Linked DNA regions of Drosophila melanogaster. The gene in region 1 interacts genetically with each later gene. Each region holds a gene or a part of one and is shown in the gene's direction. Other genes may lie near its edges.

Region 1 (7,900 bases):
TGGTGCTCATAAGTGATGTGGCTGGCCATTGTTCCATTTCTGCATTGAGTGTAGTGTGGTCCTGGACCTCCTCGGTGGACTCTTCGCTGTTCCAAAAATTGTAGGTGGTACGCAAGCGCAATTCAGAGTCGAAACTAGGAAGAATGTTGTGCATCAGACGATTGGAAGCATTTATAGAGCCCACAGTGGAGTTCAGCTTGCCAAACACAGGATCCTGCAAGGGAGCCGTATCCAGCCGGCTGTTCAGCGTTTCTCTGTTTTTGGTCACGGTGGATATGGGTTTCTTTTGCCGTTTGGGCTTCGGTGCTGCTTCTTTTGCTGCCTGTTGCGCTGAGTCCTGACCCTCGCCAGTAGCCTGTTCACCTTGGGGGCCATCATCATCCTCGGCAGCATTTATTTGCTTATCCGTAAGAGTTCGTGCACTCAAGCCAGCTGAAATGCGCATGGCGTCCAAGTAGATGGAGTCCACACGCAGGCCGTAAACCTTGGAAGAGGCTTCTAAAGAGGAACCAGCCATCTAGGGTATAACATCATGAAATTATTACATTTACATAAACTGAATGAGGCAAAACCCACCTTGAAGTTGCTCATGCGCTTGTGATGGTGATCCAGCAAATTGGCCAACGAATCGATGAGCATCAGGTTCCAGGCGTTGTCCTTGCTCACCTTGTTGCCATTGTAGAGCTCCAAGCAATTTTTGATGGTCTCATTGTCCTCGATGGACTCCAGAGTGCTCGACCGGTGATGCTGCTGAAGGAGCGTGCGACGTCGGGCTTCCCGCCTTTCCGCCTCGTCGTCGTTAAAGGGGGTTAGCATGCGGGACACCCCCTCCTGGTAACTGCCTACTGCGGACCGCCTGAGCGGAGTTTCTAAGCGGGGCAGAGTCATCCTTTCAAGGAAGTGGATAAATCAGAGATGAAGTCAGAGAACAGCACAAGGAATTTTGGTTGCCGTAGGCTGATGGTTTTGGAGAGTGTTAATAAGCACACTCACTTTTAATAATAGCTGTGATCCCAATTCGACAGTTTTGAATTTTTTGTTTTTTGATGATTTGTTGATTGTATTTTGTCTATTTCTGTTTTTGCGCTGGTATTGGTAATAGTTTACAGTTTCTTTCAAACGACGCCGCAATTTAGGGCTGCATTTCAGTGTTGGTTAAAACTAAAGGTGTGCCAAGCTAGCTAGATAATATGGACAGGAAAATCGCTAAAGAATTAGCTATAAAGTATTGCGGAATATAATTAACTAGTATAAACATGATACATAATTTTATCATATGAGAAAAATGAAATAAACAAACTTAATTTACACCTTAAAGCTTCGAAATCGAATAAAAACACGATAGCTTACAATGGAATTTCTTTAAGTTCAGGGCTGCACAGGTCCTGCCAGTGCTGAATGGATTTCAACAATGGATGGCCGTTAAATTTCAAATACATGTACCATATTAAAGAAACTACGATCTGTAAAGGAATTAATCTGTTTCAATACTTTTAGTTTTTTATATAATTTTCAGTCCGGTAGTTAATTAGTATTTTTTCTTTTGACAATAAAGTCTTAACCTAAGCAATATTTAATTTGTAAAAACCCTTAATTTTTCCTTGGGACTCTTGCCAACACTGGCGCTGATAATCACCCCATCCCTGGAAGGCGGCAACTTTTACACACACTGCCGCAGAAATTGTAGTCCCTCGCGCAGTTCACATCGAACCAATGTCGTGATTTTTGTTAGTTTTCGTTGTTTTCGTCTGATAAACTCTAAATAACTATCAGCCAGCGCTGTGCGAAAAGCTCGATGTAATCGAATTGGGCAGAAGAAACGCTCAGAGATTCAAACCCATAGCTTCTATAGATCTATAGCTTTTCCGAAGATCGGACTCCTCGTGTATGTGTGCATTTCTGCCTGTGGTAGTGCTGGAGTAACTGGACATTTCGAATTTACGCAGTTCCAGGCAAACCTAACGGGTTTTCCAGTTCGACTTGCGGAATAGCAGGAATACGAGATTACGGGGCTACGGAGTTTCGGAGTTTTGGAATCACTATGGCACGCGACACACAAGGAACGCAGGGAACCCAGAGTCAGGCCTCCAATATCTGGACGCAGGTGGAGAGCCAGCCGATGGAGAAGATAGTCTGGGGTCGATTGTACGGCAAGAACATTAAGATCAAATCGCTGGGTACGAGTTCAAAATACCGAATCATTTATACGCATTCGTCCTTTTCTGTTGGTAACCACATTTCCTCCTGTTTTGTGTCCCCATTGCGTGTGCTCCTCATGTATTAATGACGATCCCATGCTGAACTGTTTGCAGATCTCAACAACGACGAGTTCACCGCAGGACGAGGGGAGGCCAACGACTTGATCCTCACGCTCAACGATTTGCCCGAGAAAATCCTGACGCGCATTTCCAAAGTGCATTTTATCATAAAGCGGGCAAACTGCGAACTTACCAATCCAGTTTATATTCAGGTAGGTGGAAGTTCCAAACCCAAAAGCTCTGAAGGAAGCCTTGAAAAAAAAGATAGCAAATTCAGAACCCACAAGAGCAGAATTCAAATTAAGTTTTATTTATGTTTTGTTGAGATTATCAAAAAAGGTAACTTCAATATTGAATATTTCCCACAATTAATTTACAAAAAGAAGTTACTATTCCGTATAATTCCGTATATTATTAAAATGTAGTAACCTTGTTTCCGCCCATTTCGCAGGATCTCTCACGCAACGGGACGTTTGTGAATAACGAGAAAATTGGCACAAACAGGATGCGAATCCTAAAGAATGACGACGTAATTTCCCTGTCCCACCCAACGTACAAAGGTAAGCGATCGACAAGCAGGTATAGCTATCGACAAGGACTCGCAAGTAATTTGATGTTTTGCACCTGCCCTCCCTTGTAGCCTTTGTATTCAAGGATCTCAGCCCGAATGAGTCGATCGGGCTTCCCGAGGAGATTAACAAGACGTATTATGTAAATCGCAAGCTGGGATCTGGAGCGTACGGACTGGTGCGTTTGGTCTATGACACCCGCACCTGCCAGCAGTTTGCGATGAAAATCGTTAAGAAGAATATGCTCTCTGGGGCGCGACCCAGTACCAATTTCAGTGATCCCGACCGGGTGCTGAACGAAGCCAAGATTATGAAGAATCTTTCACATCCGTGCGTGGTTCGCATGCACGACATCGTGGACAAGCCGGATTCTGTGTATATGGTGCTGGAGTTTATGCGCGGCGGCGACCTGCTTAACCGGATCATCAGCAACAAACTACTTAGCGAGGACATCTCGAAGCTTTACTTTTACCAAATGTGCCATGCCGTCAAGTACCTACACGATCGGGGTAAAACAAATTAGTTTTATTTGGGTTCGAATGTGTTGCTGATTAAGCAAGCCGTTCATTTCTGTTATGCAAATAAGTAAGTCTTCGGAATGGTCATTGAAAACGCCCTTAATTGCAAATCATTCCTGCGCCTTTACGAATTTGCTAGTACGACTACTGCGAACACATCAATCGAATTATTCAACTAACTAGTTTCTACCTTTCAGGCATCACCCATCGTGACCTTAAGCCTGACAATGTTTTGCTGGAGACCAATGACGAGGAGACCCTACTGAAGGTCTCCGATTTCGGGCTGAGTAAGTTTGTGCAGAAGGACTCGGTTATGCGCACGCTCTGTGGCACACCTCTCTACGTGGCCCCTGAGGTGCTGATTACCGGCGGCCGAGAAGCCTACACCAAGAAAGTGGACATTTGGAGCTTGGGAGTGGTGCTATTTACTTGGTAAGTCATTATGTTATTCTCCTACGAAGATAACTTAGCAATATACTCATATCTTGCAGCCTGAGTGGCACTCTGCCCTTTTCGGACGAGTACGGCACCCCGGCGGCCCAGCAAATAAAGAAGGGCAGATTCGCGTATGGACACCCTTCTTGGAAGAGTGTCTCGCAGCGCGCCAAGCTGCTGATCAACCAAATGCTCATTGTGGATCCCGAGAGGCGACCCTCAATCGACGACGTTTTGCAGAGCAGCTGGCTGCGCGATGCGCCCATGCTGCAGAAGGCGAAGAGGCTGATGAAGCTCGATGGCATGGAAATCGAGGAGGAGAACTTCCTTGAGCCACCCACCAAGCGATCGCGACGCTAGGTTTCGTTTCTGTGTTTCCATCGTTAATACGTGAGGGTCGAGGCGCGAAAAGGTTTTAATTTTCTGGAAAAATTAAGCGACAACATTTTTCCCAAAACGCCGACACCGCCGCATCCGAGTGTATTGGCGAATTTAAGTATTTTTTGCGGTTGTTAATTTTTACGTGTTGTCTAGTGTAAGTTTCATCGCCCAAGCCCGGTTTATCCTGTTAAACTGCATTTAAACTGGGCTGCTGCTTCACAATTTTTTTAAGATTCCTATCGATTTGAATTCTGCCATTTCATTGGACTATTATTACGATTTATTACTTGTAACTGTTCAGTAACTATAAGTGTTAAATGTAAGAATGACTCTTCAGCAAACCATTCCGCTTTTTGAAATAAAGCAATTGAATTTGTTCGGCAGCAAAATTATTTGATAGCGTGCGTCACCATTTTGCGGCCATGTCCAATGGTGATGAGGGTGCTATCATCGGTCCAAACGGCATCAGTTAGGCGAGAATGGGTGTCCTGGTGCGTGTAGATGAACTCATGGCCCGCCTGCACATTGGCCACTTTCACGGAGGCGGGCAAATTGCTCATCGCAGCCAGATGGGGCCTGAAAATATGTGCGTTAATGCAAATCGTCATTGTTTCGCTTAAACTTGTACCCATTGATTAATAACTGGGCGACATGGCCCTTGTCGAAGTATTCCCTGGTTTCCGCCAGTTTTCGTGGCACTCGAATGTCCAGAGTATGAACTTTGCCGTCATAGTCCCCGAGATAGATGTGATTGTCACCCTGCAGCTCCGAGGCAGCTGCCCAGGCGGCACTGGTGAAGCTCAGCACGTGGCTGGCATCCGCATAGAGGCACGTGGAAGATGGAGCCGCTGCCCGGACATCCCAAAGGCGGGCACAGCCGCCACGATCACAGGTCACAAATTTATCGACTGAAGCTGCGGGTGTGGCCAGGCCAGTCAACTTGTCGGTATGCGAGGAGCGCGATCTGTAGGTGCTCACCATATCGGCGCCCGAGAGATCCCAGACCTGCAAAAGGGTAACATTTGTATATTTTCCATACATCCACATCACCTTTATACATACATTGAGGGTACTGTCCGCTGAGCCCGAAACGGCAGTGCGGGGATCCGCCTTGAAGACGCTCAGTTGGCTGATGGGTGTGGGATGCGCACTGGACTCGCCCACGAGGAAGAGGCAGTATGGCGACTGAGAATCTCGCACCTTGGAGTATGTGGACCAGGCCTGGAGTCGGGTATCCCCAAGGGCCACCAGTAGGAAATCATCCTCAGCGTAGCGCACAATGTTCACCGTGTGCTCCGCCTGCAGCTTGAAGTTCGCCGAGTCCACGCTCATATGGTGCATCTGGTCGCGTCCGTAGCCGAACAACATGCCCCACCATTGGCGTCCTTCGCGTCGGTTTGTGGCCAGGGCCAGGTGGTTGTGATCATTGATAGCGATGCTGTCCCAGCAGTCGTGCAGTCGCGGCGAAAGGTTTTCCAATCGCGCGTTTAGGTCCGCAATGTTGAGGTTCGGGTACTCCAGATTCCCGGCCAGCTCCAGTGCCGGCGGAGGCTGGTGGGTCACCGGAGTGCGGTACAGCTCCGAGCTGCGTTGCGGGAACATCGTCTCTCACTCAAGATTCCGTAAAACAACAGAGAATCGGCCAGCAAGGAAGAGCAACGAGCCCGGCAAGACCAAATACATCGATTTGTGTACCAATCGAAATATCGATATTATTAGACATTAATATTAGAGATAATCGCGCGAGCTGGATACTCTGGAGTTTTTTTTTTTTTTTTTTTTGATTGGTTTATTCAAAATGAGTTCGTTTATTCCGATTAATATCAGTATTATGAACTCGGAAAAATGTATACTGACCTATTTTAATAATTTTTAATTGCACTTCTTCACGAGTTGAGATGAAAGTGTCGATTAATAGAAAGACTTTGAAAATACGTTTTGCAAGTTTTTTTTAGCATTTCTATTTACAGCTTTCATTTTCAAATTGAGCAATCTTGGTGCGCATCATCACTAGGAGGACATCCAAAATTATGATAGTTAGTCATTTATAGATTGGTCAAAGGATTGGTTAAAGGTTCAGAACACGTTCAGAATTCCTTACTCATTTTTGATAAAATTGTGAAGGATAATTTTCAAGAACAACACTTTAAAATGCCATAAAGAATATATTTATTTATATAACAATAAGACTTCCGATACAGGAGTTCCGAAATCGCCAGGCGGTAATTAAAAAAAGAGAATGGCGCACTTTACAACTGCAAAGTTTCTACATTACGTTTACATTTCACATTGCTTAACGGTATAGTTGTGAGCAACGGTATTTTTTAGGGGATTTCCCGCCACTATGGACATTTACCGTTCGCTTGCAAGCGGTCACACAGTTGTTATTTTTGTTTATTATTATCGCGTCGCTCGTTGCGCGCTGGTTTATTTTTTGAAAAGTGCGTTCCTAGCGCGAGTGGTCAGCGTCCCAAACGTCGTAGATTCCATCGCCTGAGCCATCAAGAACTAAATATTTCCTTACATAACTGCGGAATACTTCGACTCTGCAGTAAGCCACGCGACGGAAGGCAATCAACAAAGACACGCAAGTGCTTGCACACTGGGCTATTATGCAAATTGCGCCACTGCAGCTGGTCTAAGATTGCAAGGAAGGGCGACAGAGCAACACACACACACACAAAGTGCCTGGGCAGAACGAGCGGAACCGCCTCCCCAATCAGCTGTGATCTCTGCGGTCGGGCCTCCATCGAGTGGGCGGAGAATGGGCGGGATGGGGGGCGGCGGGCTGCTGGACATCTACGCCATGGCCTGGGAGCACCTAAGACCCGGAAGCTCGCCCGTCGACTGGTGCGAAGGCAACTACTTGATTTCGTCCAACATCGCCGAGTTCGTGAACACGGTGCGTATGTGCGATTTATTTAACGTTGTATGTAATTTGTGCGCTCTGCTTTCGCTGCCCCACTTAGTTGTCCCCGCAGTGGTCGTAGTTGCTCTTCTCACCCCTTCGCAGACAGCTGCTAGTTTTCCCTTTGAATAGGCCTTGACCTTTTTAGAGCGAGACCGACTGGCAACGTAAACAAAAGATGCTGTTTGCCACGCTTTGTTTGCGTTGGTGTGACGATGGGCTGGGGGTGGGGGTCATTTTCGCACCCGGAAAATGCGACACCCGGAAAATTCAGTTTTCTTATCGCCCTGAGCTTCACACCTGTCCGATCGATATAAAACTTGGTATTGCGGACAGGGCAAAGCATAATGAACACTTTGTCCTCGGACTGGAAACTTGTGTCTCTTCAGACTTGGCCGCTACACGGACTTCAAACTAAGTCCTGCAAGGGCTAGCTTCTCTCATTTGGTTGTTATCATCTCTTTCATATATAATATGATTTATATAACTACTTTGAACCCGGCTGTCCGATGTTATTAGATTTGAAATATGTAGATTATACGCTCGCGATTTCATTTAGTTAGTCAGCCGTTTGCATTTGTCATTATAGTAAAACAGCCTAAACAAATAGCTGTGCTGGTGGTAATGAATGGCATCCGCATTAATATAAACGTTCTTACAATCGTAACTCGTAACTCAATATGTGACGGGCTCACTTTCATTAGGCCTTATCAAGGTTAATCGTCTGAAGCTAACCATTGATAGAAACGCTGTTTACGAAAACAACGCACTAAAAGTGGATCAAAACAACATTTTTTCTGATATTCTAATTAACAATATAAGTAAGTGCAA
Region 2 (10,307 bases), on another chromosome or scaffold:
GACTATGGGACCATCAGTGCCGGCCACAACCATGGTCTGACCCTCGCGGAGCTTTCCATTGATCAGAATGGCATCGATGGTGGTTCCAAGACCTGGCAGCGCCTTCACCTCCAACACGGTGGCCTGCAGTTCCTCGGAGTACATCAGGCGCTTGGCCAGCATATTCTGACAGAAGTCGGCGATCATAAAGAGCAGGTTGCCCATACCCTCGCCCGAAATGGCACTGGTGGGCACCAGGGAAATGTATGTCTTCGGATCGGTGTTTTCGTAGAATAGAGCAGCATTCAAGCCCTGCTCGGCGAACTGCAGGATCACGTCCTTTGTGCGCTGCTGAAACTCCAGCTGTGTGTTGCTCTGCTGCTCCTTGAGAACATCCCTCACATCCCGTCTGGCCAACTGCTTCCAATCGTACAAACGATCGATCTTGTTCAGGGCCACAATGAACGGACATTTCTTCTTCTTGAGCAGCTGAATGGACTCGATGGTTTGTGGCTCCAAGCCGTGCATAATGTCCACCACCAGGATGGCTATGTCGCAGAGGGATGATCCTCGGTTCCTAAGGTTGCTGAAGGACTCGTGGCCGGGTGTGTCGATGATCAATAGACCAGGCAAGCGATGTTCAAATCCAGCGGCCGCCTTTACGTACTTAGTCTGCTCCTTAATTGCTTCGATGGGAACGTTTGTGGCTCCAATCTGCTGAGTGATGCCACCCGCTTCGGAATCCTGAACGTGTGTGCGCCGCAGTTTGTCCAGGATCTTGGTTTTTCCTGTATCTACATGACCCAGCACGCAAACCACTCCAGCTCTGAGTTCGTCGGTGGAGCGCTTCTTTTCCGCCTCTGCTTGCCGTTTTAGGATTCTGGCTTCCGCACGCAGTCGTCGTGACTCTGGATCATTGGCCAACACCGATACTTCACGGGAATCGTCACTATCCCCATCGGAGTCATCGCTGTCATCTTCATCATCGTCGTCATCTTCATCGTCATCTGTATCTTCGTTCTCTTCCTCGGCAGCCTCGGTCTTGCCATTGTTAGTGGCCTGCGACGTTTCTTCCTCGGGCTCTGGCTCAGCCTCACTATCGGTGGCATCCCAACTCTCCTTGACCCTCTCTTCCTCGGCCTTTTCGGCAGCAGCTGCAGCGGCAGCAGCGGCGGCCGATTGGGCTTCCGCTTCCGCTGCCTTGGCCTCCTCTTCGGCGGCCTCTTCCTTAGGGCCCTTCTTTTTGTTCGGACGGATACGAGTTCCTGAAAGACATGAATCAGTTAGTTGAGATAATAAGCTAATAATGTTACAAGGCAATACAAAACTGAGGTCGTGGCATACAAATTTAGGAAGAAAGCCATTTACATACCTGGCCGCGTGGGTCGCTTGTCGTTCGGATCGGGAATCTCGAGACCCTGAGCCTTTAGAGACTCCAGGAGAGCCTGTGCCCTAGCCCTATCCTCCTTCTGCTTCTTGGTGAGCAGTTTTCCTTCCGCCTTCAAGCGAGCCTTGCGCTCTGCCTCGCGCTGCTTCTTTTTCTCCTTCCTCTCTGCCTCCAGACGCACTGCCTCCAGGCGGGCTTCTTCGCGCTCATCCTCCAGGCGAATTCGCTCTGCCTCCTCCCGCTCCAGGCGCTCCTCCTCCTCCTTTCGCTTTCTTAGCTGCTCCTGCATGGCCGCCACCATGGAGGCAGACATACCCTTCTTCTTGGCGTCCTTCTTCTCCTCCTCAGGCTCGGCCTTTTTGTCTTTCTTGCCCTTCTTCTTGTTTTTGCTGGACTTTTCCTCCTCTTCCTCGGCGGCGGGCTGGACTTCTTCCGTAGCCACAGGCTCGGGTTCTGGCGCAGGTTTCTCCACGGGCTTCGGTTTGGGTTCAGTAGCTGCCTTTTGCTTGGCTAGGGCAGCCTCCCTCTTTTGGCGCTCCTTCTTTTCCTTCTTTTTCTGGGCTGCCGACTTCACAGTGCTGCCGCCCTCCTCGTCATCGCTGGCCTCATCCTCTCCGGCGTTTTCTGCCACTGCAGCCTGCTTGGCCTGCTTCTTGTTCTTTTTTTTCTTGGAGAACTCATCGGCCAATTCTTCGGGGGAAACAACAGTAGTGGCAGCAGGAGCAGCCTCGCCGGCGTATTCCGCTTGAAGCTCAGCTAAAACCTTGTCCAGATCTTCATCGTCGTCGTCCTTCCCCTTGCGTTTGGCCTTTTTGCCCTTCTTTTCGTTCTTCTGTGGCTTGGAGACCACTACCTTTTCCTCCTTCTCAGACTGGCTTTCCTGGGCAGCTGGCTCGTCCTGCTCGTCGTCGTCCATTAGCAGCTCAAAAGCCGACTTCTTAGAAGCTTTGCCCTTGGCGGGCACCACCTCCTCCTCATCGGAGTCGTCATTTTTGCCTGCTTTGCCTTTTCCCTTGACATTAAGCTTCTTGACCCCCTTGGTCACGGCTTTAACATCGTCATCGCCAGCTTGATTGCCCTTCAGGGCATGATTCTGCTTGTTGTTGAGGCTCAACTGGTCGCTGTCCACATCGGAGCTGTAAGATTGAATAATTTGCGATAGAAAGTTTGCCAAGTTGGCAGGTGGGCATGAACTTGCACAAGACTCACATTTCGTCCACCGAGGAACCGCCTTCGACCTTGGTCAGTATCTCTTTCTTGCCCTTTTTAGCTTTAACCATCTTCCCGTTTGCGACTGCAACACGCTCCTCCTCTGGCCGAAAACAAAAAGCCGTGGGTTATTCACCGCTGAAAGATACGCACACGCGACGCCTCGGCAGCCAAGAAAAAGAGGAGGACTGTCCACTGGGTTCTCCTGGTGCTGGTGATCTTCTGATGGTGACTCCGCTTCGGTGGCTCCAGCGACGACGTCCTGCTCCGGAATTGTGCAATCGACGGCTAGATCTGACACGGCGCTTTGCCAATTTTTGGTTTTATTTAGCCGAGGAAATTCTGCACACAAGCACGTTGTCGAGTAGTACGGTGCGGGAGGGTTGGACAGGCAGTGTGACCGTGCGAGTGGATTGCTGAAAATCACAATGGCTGAGCTAAGGTTATCGATTATACCCTGTAATATCCAGTTGAGCGGGGTATTTTTGTTTTGAGTCTATAGTTGTACATAAAGATATATTAAATATATATACACCTTTTTCAATAGAATCGCGGCCTCGGCGCTGGCGTGCGCTGTTTACGGGAACCATTTATCGCCTCTGGTGCTCAGTTTCTTACTCATCAGACATAGGGCAGTTGGTTTTATTGGTTTTCCTAATTGGTAAATTATTTCAACTGCGAAAAGTATTGAACATACTCTTAAATAATATCGATCACTAGGGTATTTATGGAGAAAGAAACCATCTATGGACTTTTTTACACATATACTCGAAAAACTTTCCGGATTGCGGAAAGATATTTGGCATATTTTGGAATTTGATTGCTTATTTCTTAAATGTAAGTGACAGATAACTAACAGGTACTCTTGAAAAAAAGATAAAAGAATAAGAACAAGTTCTTCGTGTGTATTATTTTTGTGAGGAGGTAAATTCCAAAAACAAAAACTTAAATGTGGACTGCCGATATTTTATATACTTTCTTGAGTTCTTTACTTTACATTTTTGTTTCATTTTATTTTTGAGAACTTTTTTTAAATAAGGAAAATATAAATACATAAGCAACTTCCTCACGTTTCATATTCCACCGCTTTAATTTGACACACTTTAAGAAAATACCACAGCCAAGGATATTTTCTACGCCGCTAAGTCCGGTCACACTTAAAAGTTCGCCAAGACGCTTTGTGCTCAAAATTTTGCTCGAGAGTTTTTTCGAATACTATGACTATTTCCCATTGAACTCTTAAAACTCAAAGTGCAGTGCATCTACTAATTCAACAGCGTTAAGAATATTTGTAAGTACGAGTACAAATAGCAAATCCGGCTGTGCATTTGCAAAAAGCCGGTAAGGAACTCACATATTTGGTCCACAGCTTGATAACCAAGGTAAATCCGCGTGATTGGACAATGTCCAGCGAAGCATCCGGAAGTATAACCATCAAAGAAGAAGCATCTACAAGCGGTACGGCCACCAATATTCCCGTTGAATCCAGTGAAACAGAGGTATGAGTTTGTTGTTGTTGCCATCCTTGTTTTGGCGTGGTAGAAGGAGACGAAAGCAGTGCAGGAGTAACTGTTGCTGTCGCTTTTCTTGAGACTTTCGTTTGCTTTTTCTCCATTCAAACTGTTGCTTTTTTGCAGTTATTTTAACAGCCTAGACTAAAAAACAAATCACTATTGAATTCAAGAACCCTAACACAAAGTTTTTAATTTTCCGTTACAAAACATACAGAAAATGTATACAAATGTTAATTTTTTTATTTTATATATGCTCTTATAAATACATTTAAATTTATAAATAAATATTCTCTAAATATTTCAAAAATTGTCCGTAGAAGTAAAACAACAAAATGTTGTTAAATGAAAATTGTAGGATATTTAAGCCTTCGGTGTCATAGAAGGTAACATTGTATGTTCTCAAATGTTTACAATACAGATGGTCCACATTTCCAGGCTAAGAAACCCGAGATCGGAGCTGACAAGGCGGAATCGCAGAGCGAAACCACCGAGGGCGGGAAGGCGGCGGAGACGACGGAGAACCACTTGAAGCGTCTGCAGAATCTGCGCAAGGAATTGAGCTATCTCAGCGAAACCGACTGGATGTACGAGAGTCTCGACAAGAAAGCAGCGCAGTAGGAACGGCAGAGCATTTATCGGCGAAACATTTTCAAAAATGTTCACATACGTTAGCAAGTTTTTCACGAACCCGGATCGTAACCGGGAGGATATTCTGGAAAGTTTGGATCGGGAGAATAGCTTTTTAGACCAAAAACTAATGGAGGAGAAGATGGATCAACAGCTTAAGGCGAATCCAAACGAAATTAATGGGGTTTTAAGTAACAAGATCGCTGAGCTTACGCATGGACTTTCGGAAATGGACGTGAGTAAAGAAAGTTCCTGCACCGCCAGAAAGGGAGTGATCACCAGTCTAGACGGCGATCGGGGAGTCATCGACAAAGACGTTTTATTCGAAACGAAGGTGGCAGAGGATATCATCTTGGATCTACACGTCGGATGTGTAGTGGAATATTTGACTTTTACAACGGGGGAAGCCATGCGGGTGGTCAAGGTGAAGAGTATCCTTGAGCATTCCTGGGAGGACACAAGCCAAAAGGAGGTAAGCTCATCGGTATTAGATTTATTAGCCATTTGTTAAAGCCAATGCTTAATATCTGTAATCCTAACTTCTATTAGATTGAAAAAGCTGTAGACAACCTGAAGAACGAAAAGCCGACATTCTTTAACACCGAAACAAGGAGCGTTTTGGGTCTGATTAGCCAGCGTCTGGCATCTTCCATAGACGTCGAAACGGAATACGGACAGCTGACCGTCGAGCTAGACAATATCGAGATGAACTTCATCCCAACGAATGGAGATCGAGTGCGCCTAGAGTGCAACATTCAGCTGGATGACGGTTTCGTGGACAAACAGGGAGAAATCCTAGAGGTGACAAAGTTGTTTCCCACCCGCATTCAGGAAGGTGAAAAGTGCATTGTGGAGCGCGTGTACGTGCACATGGTTGTGCTGGGTCCGGAAACCTACATTTTAAAGACAGACTTGCCTACAGGCACGGATCTTCATCTGGGCGACATTGTGCTCGCCGATCTCATCGAGTGCCAGTATGTAAGTTAAAGAAGGAACATAAAATCTTGCGATTTTCTTCTTTATACGTGTGTTTTAATTCCCCAGTCCAAATTTACGAGACGCGCCATTAAGATTACTCCGCTGGAGAAAAATTTTGGGGCTACCAAGCTGACTCAGCAGAGCAGTATGGGATCATCCGGCAGTGGAAAAGCAGTGACGGTGACTGGTGTAAATCGTTTCATCACCGCAGAGCTCTGGCAAAAGGAGAGCGTATCTTTAAAGCTGACCAACAATCTAAACCGCACTTTGCGCCTGGAGAGCATCACCGTCTGCAATGACAGTGAGTCTCAGTTGAGCGTGGTCAGCCCTCTCGAATCAAAGGAAATATCCAGCGGCTCCGAAATAACGGTGACCTTTGAGATCCATACGCAGTTCCTGGGGGAAGCAATCGAAAAGTACGTGCTGAATTTCGATCTACTCAAGGTGAGGCGCGTCTTCACGGTGATCGTGTGCAAAACCAAGGAGGAAGTCGCTGAAGCTGAGAAACGTATGATAGCAGCTGAAGCTTTGATGGCACCCGGTCGTAACAGCCAGGAGAGGTCCCGGTTCTATGCCAACCAAGTTTGGTGCAACAAGGTGGATGTAATCCCGGGACAACAAATTGTTACCAAGCGCAGATTTGTTGCTCTGCGTTTGGGTTGCTTTGAAGTAAGGAGTCCTCTCATTAAAAAATATGCTTATTTTTAATACTACCGTTCTTTTAAGGTGCCCAAAGAATTGCGCCAAATTTGTTTGACTAGTGAACGGCGACAAGAGATGATCAAGGCCATCGAGCAGCACTATTCATTCCTCACGGAACCCCTAAGCATTAAAACCTATATGCACCGTTTCAGATTGCTCCTACACCTCGAGGAGATCGAGTGCTTCGTCAACTTTCGCAACTACGACAGAGACCGAGCACACTTTCTGCGTGACGGAGAGTTCCTCACGCTGCAGATCGAGAATCTAGCCGAGCGTCGACCGTCGCTGGTCATTGGCGATACACTGCGAGTCATTAATCCCTGGTCGGATCCCGATTCCCAGACCACCAAGTCATACGAGGGCATTATCCATAAGGTGCTCTTCGATCGCATTTTACTCAAATTCCATTCCAGTTTCCAGGAGAAATATAATGGCGAGGACTATCGACTAGAGTTCTATTTCTCACGCTACAGTTTTCGCAAGCAACACCATGCCATCTCCAAAATTGTAGGAGTAATGGGCGAGGATTTCTTGTTTCCCAGCAAAGTAACCAAGCGCGAGAATCCCCAGCTGGATGTTTATATGAAGGATGACGACATGTACTTGTACGATTCGAAATTAGAGTGGTATAATCAGTCGCTTAATTCCATCCAAAAACGTGCTGTTTTCAATATACTGCGCGGTGAAGCGGAGAACATTCCTTATGTGCTGTTTGGGCCTCCGGGCAGTGGAAAAACAATGACACTTATTGAGACACTACTCCAGTTGGTTAGGAATCTGCCTGGTGCCCGAATCTTGGTGGGAACGCCGTCGAACAGCTCAGCGGATTTGGTGACAAAGAGGCTCATCGATAGCAAAGCTTTGCTCCAGGGAGATTTCATTCGCCTCGTTTCGTACAATCAAGTGGAGAAAGACTTGATTCCTCCGGAAATAATGAGCTACTGCGCCACAAGTGATGTCGGTGCTGTGGGCAGTTGCGAGGACAAAGTGAGTAGAAAAATTTTATCATTTGGATTGGACACCAATTAATCTTGGCTTTGTTGATATTTGCTATAGATGATGGTCACCGAATCGGGATTGAAGCTTCGCTGTCAAGCTAAGTTTATAGGTACTCATCGCATTACCATCTCCACCTGCACTACTTTGGGAAACTTTTTACAATTGGGGTTTCCAGCGGGCCATTTCACTCACGTGCTGTTCGATGAAGCTGGTCAATGCACCGAACCAGAAACAATGGTACCCATTGTAATGCTAACGAAGAAACGCTCTCAAGTTGTTCTCTCAGGTGATCCTCGCCAGCTGCAGTCTATTGTCACCAGTCGAATTGCCTCGAAAATGGGATTTTCCATATCCTTTCTGGAGAGATTGCTGGAACGGTCGCCGTATCGAAAAGATCTTCAGCGATTTCCCGAAAGCTCCGGCTACAATCCACTAGTGCTAACCAAATTGTTGTACAATTACCGAGCATTACCGTCGATTATGAGCATTTATAGCAGGCTATTCTACGATGACGAACTGATCCCAGTTCTTTCCGAAAAGGATTCAAGGGAATCTCGCCTACTAAGTAAACTGCGGTGTGTATTTGAGTCAGAAAAGGATATCCCTCAAGCGCACGGCACGTTCTTTTACGGAATCATTGGCGAAAACAGGCAAAATAACGATTCCCCTTCCTGGTTCAATCCCCAAGAGGTCAGGGAGGTGTTCCTAATGACCATCGCCCTGTACCGTGCCAATGTGACTGCCGATCAGATCGGTATAATCACGCCCTATCAGAAGCAGGTGAAGATGCTTCGGAGTATGTTCATTGGCACCGACGTGGTCATGCCGAAGATTGGATCCGTCGAGGAGTTTCAGGGACAGGTGGGGTCGGAACTAAAATCGATATTACGTGCACACTTAACGTTTGTTATTTCCAGGAACGAGACATTATACTAATATCCACGGTGCGTTCATCAGAAGAGATCCTGCGCATGGATGCCCGCTTCTCCTTGGGATTCGTGCGTTGCAGCAAGCGACTTAACGTGGCCGTTTCCCGAGCACGTGCCATGATGATCATCTTCGGGAATCCCCATCTTCTGGCCGTCGACGAATGCTGGCGCCAGCTAATCCTGTTCTGTGTCAAAAATAACGCCTATTTTGGCTGTGATCTGCCTCAAATGGTGATAAATCAGAAAGATGAGGTCCCCGTTTGCTTGGAAACATTCGTGCCTTCACTGAATACTACAGATGATTTGAACTAAGCACATATGACAGTTTATTATTAAATTAAAACACTTGTTATTGATGAATTAAAGTAACACAATTAATCATTAAACTTGTTTTAAATATTTGTACATATGTGCTAATTTTAGCGAATGGTAACACTCCCAAGCGCAGTCTGGGAACGCTGCTCGTTTGGCTTCGCAGTGTGGTAGCACTGGCCGGAACCGTTGTAGCGCCATGTTTGCGCTCCTTTTGTTTTCTCCTTCATTTGTTTTGCTTTTTTCCGCCGTTAAGTTCTTGCCTTAAAATCGGTGATTTAAGGCATTGCATTCAATTTCGATACAATGGAGCAGAAAGTGGCTGCCGAGCAGAACATCTTCGTCGTCGACCGCAAATTGAAGAAAACTTGCCCGCAAGCAGATGTCGAGGTGAACGGACATGTGCTTAACTTTTGCGAACCCGACTTTATTTCGTTAAATACCAATTTGTAGCGCCTGGCTAAGACGCACTGGCTCACCGACTATGCCCGGGATATATTTTTGACCATGAGGGAGCAAGAACTCAGCCGTCGGCCTTTGTTTTACCTTTCGCCGCAGCTGAACGAGCGCCGAAGAATGCTGCAGTTGCTCAAACTGGCGACCAGCGCCCACAAGCTTAGTCGCTGTGCTTTGCACCTGGGTGAGCACTGTACAGAGGAGCCTCGCTGCAGGCACAAAACCCATGTGCACAACTCATTGTAACTCGTTTCACTCCAGCCGTCTACTATATGGATCGCTTTGTTGATTACTACAAAATCCGTCCGGACAAATTGCTCCTGGTGGCCATCACTTGTCTTCATATAGCTGCGCAGATCGAAAACACGGATGCGTTTATTCCGCGCTACAGCGAAATGAACCGATTGGTCAAGAACGCCTATACGGCATTCGAGTACAAGGCTGTGGAAAGGAAGATCCTGTGCTTCCTGAACTTCGAGCTAATACGTCCCACCACCGCCAGTTTTGTGGAGCTCTTCGCCTGCAGTTTTCTCACTCGCTCCGATTTCAAGAACTACATCGAGATGTTGGATGAGTACGAGCGGAACCATCACACCCAGCCGTACCAGCGATATATAAGCTTCGAAGAGATGCTGTCCATTTTGGCGCAGTTGCTCCTTCGCATGGCGGATTATACATTGTACAGTGAGTATCGAATTCCCATGGAAGGTATTGGATACCACTTAACACTCATTCAGTTTCCAGATTTGCCAACGATCTGCCATCCCTTTTGGCTGCCGCCTGCATTGCTGCAGTTCGCCAGGTCAGCGGGGTCAGGCGCTGGTCGGAGTACCTAGTTGGACTGACCTCCTATACTGAGGCGAATGTCGAGCCGTACATGAACGTTCTGACCGACTATTATTATTACCATGTTATTCAGACCGACTACGGTAGTCCCTCTGTTCAGACCAACCAGAGTTTAGCCAGTCCCGATTCCGGATTCGAGGAGTCCTTCACTGAGAACACAAACCTGGTGGTCTCCGATGAAGTGGTCACAGTAGAGACCTACAACATAATTACCGTGCAGCTGCAGGATCCATCTCCACATTCATCGACTTTCCTTCCCAAAGAGCAAACGAATTTGAAGCGATCGCGCTTTGAAGACGATACCGAAAACCAGCACCCATTGAAACACGCCAAAGTGGAGAGTGTAGCCAAAGATTAGTAAAAGGGAAA
Region 3 (6,665 bases), on another chromosome or scaffold:
ATCAGCCCGAAGTGTAAGTTCCTCATGCTAAAGGCATGCAATTTCATCGCATCATAATGCAATCCATATTGATCATTTCGTCTAATTGGTTCCACATCTAGTACGGATGACTAATGGTATTCTGCTTTTTAGAATCGCGGTGCGCCTGGGCGAGCATGACCTGGAATCGGAGGAGGACTGCCACTATTTGGGCGGTACGAACCGCGTATGCATTCCGCCCTACGAGGAGTACGGCATAGAGCAGATACGAGTACATCCCAACTACGTGCATGGCAAGATCAGCCATGACGTTGCCATCATCAAGCTGGATCGCGTGGTCAAGGAAAAATCGCATATTAAGCCCGTTTGCCTGCCAATCGACCAGAAGTCACAGGAACTGGACTTCGATCAGAGCTTCTTCGTCGCCGGCTGGGGCGGCACCGAGAAGGAGACTGTGGCCACCAAGCTCCAACAGGCGCTGATCACCAGGAAGAGCCTGAACGAGTGTCGCCAGTACTACAACAAGGGTGAGGTGAGCGACAACCACATCTGCGCCACAGGAACTGGGATCAAGCACACTTGCCAGGGAGATTCCGGCGGACCGGTGTTCTTCAAGCATCGCTTCAAGAACACCTACCGAGTGGTCCAGTACGGTGTGGTCTCCTTCGGCGGACGGCTATGCGGACAGAACCAGCCAGGAGTCTTCGCCAGTGTCATCGACATGCTGCCCTGGATCACGCAGAACCTTCAGTAGTGCCAACCGATACTCTCTTTCCTCAAGACACCAACTTATTTATATTCTTTATATTCTAGTCTTAAGAATTCTTGCCGCAGGATTATCTAGATTTGTAAATTATTTTAATAAATACTATTAGCAGCAATATTTAAAATGCAATTCTTTAACTCGGTGGGGCATTATAGTACCAATGCAAAAATAACAATCATAAATCTTTCGAAGAGTGATCATTCTATAAAAACGTGATTTCTTAGAAATTCTATATCATATAGCTAACAGCTTTGACTTTTGATCGAAAACTGAGTCATCAATAATGGTCATGTGATTGGTATGCTATAATTTGCGGTTAGCCGCTGCAGTTAATGTCCATGTAAGACCTAAGATCTTGTTTGGGAATACGTTTGGATATATTATATGATATATGACAAGTTAATAGTGATTAATACTGACCAACGACCTTTAAAGTCCAATATGACTTATGCTTTTAAGGATTTCCATTTAAATAATCGCCAGACGCGTCTGTTTTATGTGGACTCCAACATTGAACTAAATCCAAGCCAATAAAACTGGGTAGTTATTTTAATGTAGGCCAAAGCGGAAACAATGGATAGATGGATATCATGCGGCCCATTGTTACCAAAAGCTCGCAGCCGAAAAGAAAATTTGGGCAAACAGTTTCCTTTTCTCCGCCGAATAGTTAACAATGCGCAGTAGCCGCTTCCACGCATTTTTGCTAAAGATGTAATCTACTATATGTAATCCATATAGTTCGAATACAAATCTTGTTTCTATTGCAGGATTCTCTACTTGGTGACCTTTTACCACACGCTGCCCTTCTTTGCGAATGTCTCCCTGTCGCTGCTCAATAGCTACCTCTCCTCATCGGTTTCATTTAATCTCGATACTATATAGTAAGTTCAAATAGTTCAAAAGTATCTAAGCTAACTCAAATTTTCTAGCTTGAATTGGAACTCTACTTTTCCGGCCATTACCGTGTGCGAGATTTATAACGCCGAGAGGATTTGGGATTTGAGTGATTCAAATTTCGGCGTGGAGCACGATATGCACGTAGATGATTTCATTTCGGAAATTGTTTTCTATCGAGGCGTCTGCAGTAGCTGCGAGGATTGCTCCAGGATGCGATGTCCGTCCAACTTCACCCACCTTGTGGACGTGGTGCGTTGCGTTGCCCAGCTTGCTCAGAGTACTTGCTCCTATCTATATCCTCGAATCCTTGCAGTTTCGCACCAAGTGCCATCAGTTGCTGGTGAATTGTACGTATCTAAACAAGCTGTTCGACTGCTGCGATCAGTTTCTGCCCCTGCCCACGGAGTATGGGCTGTGCTTCTCCTTCAACTCGCATCAGGCACGCAAAGTTTCCCATCTCCAGTTTACCAACAACCGGATGACGGGACCGGGACATCTAAGCTTTCATGCCGCCGCCGACATTCAGCTGTACGTTCATGCACCAATCGATGTGCCCTACCAGTTCTCCGAGGGCATGATACGGGAAACGGTGCTGCTGGGCCACTACAAGGAGCTGATCTTGAACGTGATCGAGGTGCACAACGACGAGAGTGTTCAGGACCTAAGCATGGAGCAGCGGCGATGTCGCTATGGCCATGAGCATGTGCCGGAGCGACAGGGAATCTACGACTTCTACAGCTACTCCGGCTGCGTGGTGGAGTGGTAATACTTAATAAAGTTAATATAATTAATTCATAGATTTATGTATAATCCTTAGTACTGTGCTACTTCAACTGGACAACTGCAACTGCACCAGTCACTTTATGGCCATTCCCGGCCAGAATTATCTGCCCGTTTGTGACGTTCGGGGCCTGATCTGCCTGACCCGGATCCGCGACAAGATCATGACGGAGCGCAAGTCCTGCGAGTGCATGAGCTCCTGCGAGGAGCCGGAGTACAACATAATATACAACTCGGCTGATGAGTAAGCACATTAGGATGTTTCATTTGCACAATTTAACATTGAGAGTTGAAATAAGTAAATGGGCTACTTAAAAATGTATCTTTTAACTTTAAGGGATGATGAAGCCTCAGATGAAGTGTCCGAAATCCGCGTGGCCTTGGTTGAACTGCCAACACAACGATACGTTCGTCGCGTAACCAAGACTATACTGGACTTCTTGAGTAAGCTACGCTATCCATATATATAATAGTTTCGAATTCAATTCCGCCTTTTCAGTTTCCCTTGGAGGACTGGTTGGCCTGTTCTTCAACACATCCGCCTTGCGAATAGTGGAGACCATTGTTATCTGTCTGCGGTACAGAAAAACGATTGTGAAGTGGGTTAAGCGGTTTTTTCTTGGCACAGTTCAATATTTACAGATCTTGGACCAGTCGACGTAAATCACAATAATATTATAAGCTTTAAATCATAGTTGTCTTTCTATAGGGAGTATGCACTTGTACGAAGTTGGTAGTAGGAGCTCAGCTCCGTGCGATCTTTTGTGCCACATAGGCTGCGCTATCCGGGGAATTGTGCCAGTTGGGCGGCGTTACAAATTGCATTAGGGTTTGCATGTAGTTGGGAAGATACATGAAGCTGGAGAAGAGCACCAGGAGCAGCATCACCAGAAAGAATCCATCTGATTGAGGGCAGATAATCCGGATTAGCAGTTGGCTTTGTCTCCCAATATCGATACTCACTGATCAGCTTCTTTTCCCAGGGCTCCAGCATGTTCACGCACGTCACCAGTTCGTACTGGCGGTAGGCGTGGCTGGCAAAGTGTTTTAAATTTAACATTTTCAATGACTAAAGTCCAATAAAATCGCGTCGCAGGAAATTAAGTTGTAAACAAAAACCATATGACATTTGGTGTAGCCAGACATTATGAAAATTCAATTGCTTGAAGTCGTATTTCTGTAGCAGCCAGCTCTTAAAAGTTAACTAACACAACACTGCAATGTTAAGTCTTAACAGTACTGTAAAATCATATGGCGCGATTGTTTTGATTATTTGCGATCCCATCTTTTGTTTTTTAAGAGTTTTAAAAAGGATTAAGCAGTCAGGAGTTTACAATGAATCATAGATTTGTTCGGTAGGTTCCATCAAATACAACACTTTTAGAATCCCTATAAACTTTGTGTCTTTCAAGGGTTTGGGAGCCATCGCAACCAGAAGCAATTGAAAGAAGACCATCTGTGTCCCATGAAAACTTTCGAATATTTGATAAATCCTGCTGGGACATTTCCCAAAGTGCCTCAAATAAGATCCTGACGGGCAAGAAAGCCCTGGACACTCACTTTGGAGGTGGAATATCCTTGGGTCACCTGGTTGAACTGATCGGCAATTCGGGCACCGGAAAGACGCAAATGTGGTACTTTATTAACTATTATTTCGTTATTAACTATAATTTACAAATGGTATATGATAGCTTGCAACTTTGCCTAAATGTACAAATTCCCAAGGCAGCTGGTGGATTGGAGGGCAGTGCATTATTTATAGACACCAGGCAGGATTTCCATCCTGACAGATTAATGGGTTAGTAGATGGAATAAACTATTTCTGTGGTATAACTAAACAAAGTTTATTTCTAGGCCTAGCTCTGAAACTGGAAAGGCAGTATGCACATAGAGTTCCAGAATTTAAGGCTCACAAAATGCTGCAGAAAATCCACTATGTGAGGTGCCCGAAACTGGATCAATTAATGGCCACTGTGCTCAGTTGCCACAGGCATCTCGTCGATCATCCCGATGTAATATTACATGTATTTATAATATCCCTTTCTTCGCTAATATAAAATGTTCTCATTGTACTTTGTCCTTTGTGGTGTTACCACAAAAATCCATACTTTTGCCAAACCAATTGAAAGACATTTCTGTAACTTTAAAAACGCAACTGTCTCCTTAGATTAAGCTGATTGTAATCGACTCCCTGGCTTTTACTCTGCGAATGCTTGAGGATGGCGCCCATCGTTACGAGATGCTTCTGGAACTGCATGAAAGCATGCGGAGATTGCAACGTCAACACGAATTGACCGTAAGTCCTCACAATCGATCAATTTCCTTTCCTTTTATAATCCCGTCCACCGGCAGTGGGTCTTCACCAATGTGCTCACGCATCGCTACGTCAAGCAAAAGTTCCAAGTGGAGCCCGCCTTGGGGGATCTGCATTCGCACTTGATCAACGAGCGCATCTGGTTTTCGGGCAGCTCTGAGCTTCACCTGGGCAAGTCGTGGCGAACGAGTAGATTAATTAAGGAATCCGAATGAGGCTACATCACTTTTACTTTGTGTCGAGTTTAAGCATTAGTTAAAAATAGGTACATGCGTATTAGGATTAAATATGCAATTATCAGATGATAATTTTTCTATAAAATAAAAATATGTTTAGCAAGAGATTAGAATCGAAGCATTAGCACAGGAAAGAGGAGCAACAGCAGCATTGGCAAACGGCATCCTCAACCACTTGCCATGATGCGGTGTGGCACAGAAAACGGATTCGCAACTAGCGCACACCCAGCCAGGTGCTGAGCACTTGCTAAAAGCTCTACCGGTCACCTCCACTCCACGAGGAGCCCGATGCCTATCGATGGCGCAGCTCCAGATTGACAGGCGAGCAACGCCTGATTTATGCGCGCGGCGCAGGAATGTGGCAAAGTGTAAAAAGTGTTTACACATACGAACGGCGACACCCAAACCAGACTGCCGATCTCTAGCCCGCGGCCTTTGATTATACACGGGAAAAAAGTAAAGTTTCATTGTATAGATGAATATTCAAATGATTCATTTGGTTATATTTCATGTCATTTATAATGTATATGTTTAACTTTTGCTGTGTACAATGCAATGCGCCACTTTTGGAAAAGTAAATCCAAATACTTGCATACATTATTTTTTTCCAGTGCACTCCGTAAGCGAACATGGAGCTCCGGGCAGCAGCTAGTCACGCATATGCAGCGACAACTAATTCAATTTCCACTTGCCAGAAGGAGGCGGCTGTTTAGCCGAGTGTGCACGCCTAATTGGTAATGCGATCGGCTTTATTGAGGCGCTGGAGTCGAAGCAGCACTTGTGGCTATAGCTCTACCCATATGGCTTAGTCGCTGGATCGAAATCGGTGGAAGTGACTGGGACTGGTGCTCACTGCCTGGCGGAGTTCGCTGGTGCAGTCACAGGCTATCGCTGTCGCTCAGCGCAAATCCCATTACGTGCGATCCGTTTCGAGCCATAAACATGTAACAGCTGCAGAGCCGAGCTCCCCTCCCAGTTTCCAACGATCCCACCCGATCCTAGCCGAGTTTCCTGGCTTCCAGCGGCGCAACTTGTCGCTCGAACTTAATTGCCTCGGTTGCGCTTATGACTTTCGTGTGCAATGCATCCTCATCCACATCCACATCGCCGCTCTGTGACTGCAGCATTAGAAAGTAACTTCAGCCGACGGAAAGCTATAGCTATCAACATCGGGCTCGCATCGTCTTCGTCGTCATCGCGGAGTTGCTGGCGCTATTTTCGACACCGCCTGGCCCGCCATAAATTTCCAACTGCCCTGTAATGCACTTGGGCAGACTAGAAATAGTCTGACTGAGTCGGTGGCACCGAAAAAAGTTTCCGATGTGATTGGAAAAAGATTTTGGGATCACAAAAAAAAGATTTGGCATAGATTTCATTTTGGAATCATTAAAAGGCAATGTTAAGCTTGGTTTTTCTATCATTGTATTTGTTATATTCGTTTCTGGCAAATCGTTATGCATAATATATTATTTAATACATTAGTTTAAAACATTTTTCTTTTCGTGTGTGTAATTTACAAAGCTGGCAAGTTGAAAGTCCATTTCCCATTTTCCATTTCGTACGGCTTTCAATTAAAACAAAAAGCAAAAAGCCAACAAACATTCCAAGTTACCGAGCATGGCCTGGCAATTTGGCCACGACCTCGTGCAACGCCAAAGTTCAGGCCCAGAGTGGCTAATTCCGCAACACCGCG

The links. A genetic interaction does not mean that the proteins touch.
Region 2: of lok (region 1) and armi, changing one suppresses a phenotype caused by changing the other (phenotypic suppression), as found in Drosophila melanogaster (3 studies listed by BioGRID).
Region 3: of lok (region 1) and spn-D, changing one suppresses a phenotype caused by changing the other (phenotypic suppression), as found in Drosophila melanogaster (2 studies listed by BioGRID).

Annotation. Positions count from the first base shown.
Region 1 is NT_033779.5:20,059,836-20,067,735, forward strand, and holds lok (loki), read left to right. Parts: upstream 1-1,586; 5' UTR 1,587-1,885; exon of another isoform or gene 1,886-1,946; 5' UTR 1,947-2,041; coding exon 2,042-2,228; intron 2,229-2,312; coding exon 2,313-2,470; intron 2,471-2,709; coding exon 2,710-2,818; intron 2,819-2,898; coding exon 2,899-3,336; coding exon of another isoform or gene 3,337-3,350; exon of another isoform or gene 3,351-3,483; intron 3,484-3,542; coding exon 3,543-3,777; intron 3,778-3,836; coding exon 3,837-4,140; 3' UTR 4,141-4,546; downstream 4,547-7,900. Other genes in the region: barr (barren), read right to left, coding at 1-517, 577-888; vls (valois), read right to left, coding at 4,551-4,737, 4,790-5,166, 5,224-5,763; bwa (brain washing), read left to right, coding at 6,926-7,063. UniProt on the Drosophila melanogaster protein: May have a role in germline establishment.
Region 2 is NT_037436.4:3,457,597-3,467,903, forward strand, and holds armi (armitage), read left to right. Parts: upstream 1-3,720; 5' UTR 3,721-3,866; intron 3,867-3,944; 5' UTR 3,945-3,978; coding exon of another isoform or gene 3,979-4,074; intron 4,075-4,507; exon of another isoform or gene 4,508-4,524; coding exon of another isoform or gene 4,525-4,707; 5' UTR 4,708-4,744; coding exon 4,745-5,188; intron 5,189-5,265; coding exon 5,266-5,694; intron 5,695-5,760; coding exon 5,761-6,363; intron 6,364-6,420; coding exon 6,421-7,383; intron 7,384-7,452; coding exon 7,453-8,256; intron 8,257-8,312; coding exon 8,313-8,636; 3' UTR 8,637-8,718; downstream 8,719-10,307. Other genes in the region: eIF5B (eukaryotic translation initiation factor 5B), read right to left, coding at 1-1,244, 1,352-2,502, 2,576-2,646; CG46463 (uncharacterized protein), read left to right, coding at 3,979-4,074, 4,525-4,707; CycJ (cyclin J), read left to right, coding at 8,943-9,026, 9,090-9,276, 9,354-9,776, 9,830-10,296. UniProt on the Drosophila melanogaster protein: Probable RNA helicase required for axial polarization of the oocyte during early and mid oogenesis. Plays a central role in RNA interference (RNAi) process, a process that mediates mRNA destruction of translational repression.
Region 3 is NT_033777.3:27,162,047-27,168,711, forward strand, and holds spn-D (spindle D), read left to right. Parts: upstream 1-3,669; 5' UTR 3,670-3,757; coding exon 3,758-3,777; intron 3,778-3,834; coding exon 3,835-4,056; intron 4,057-4,113; coding exon 4,114-4,220; intron 4,221-4,276; coding exon 4,277-4,434; intron 4,435-4,589; coding exon 4,590-4,718; intron 4,719-4,774; coding exon 4,775-4,951; 3' UTR 4,952-5,076; downstream 5,077-6,665. Other genes in the region: CG5909 (uncharacterized protein), read left to right, coding at 1-13, 133-733; ppk31 (pickpocket 31), read left to right, coding at 1,078-1,085, 1,513-1,626, 1,675-1,891, 1,956-2,404, 2,460-2,666, 2,760-2,866, 2,922-3,085; CG34293 (uncharacterized protein), read right to left, coding at 3,167-3,324, 3,386-3,482.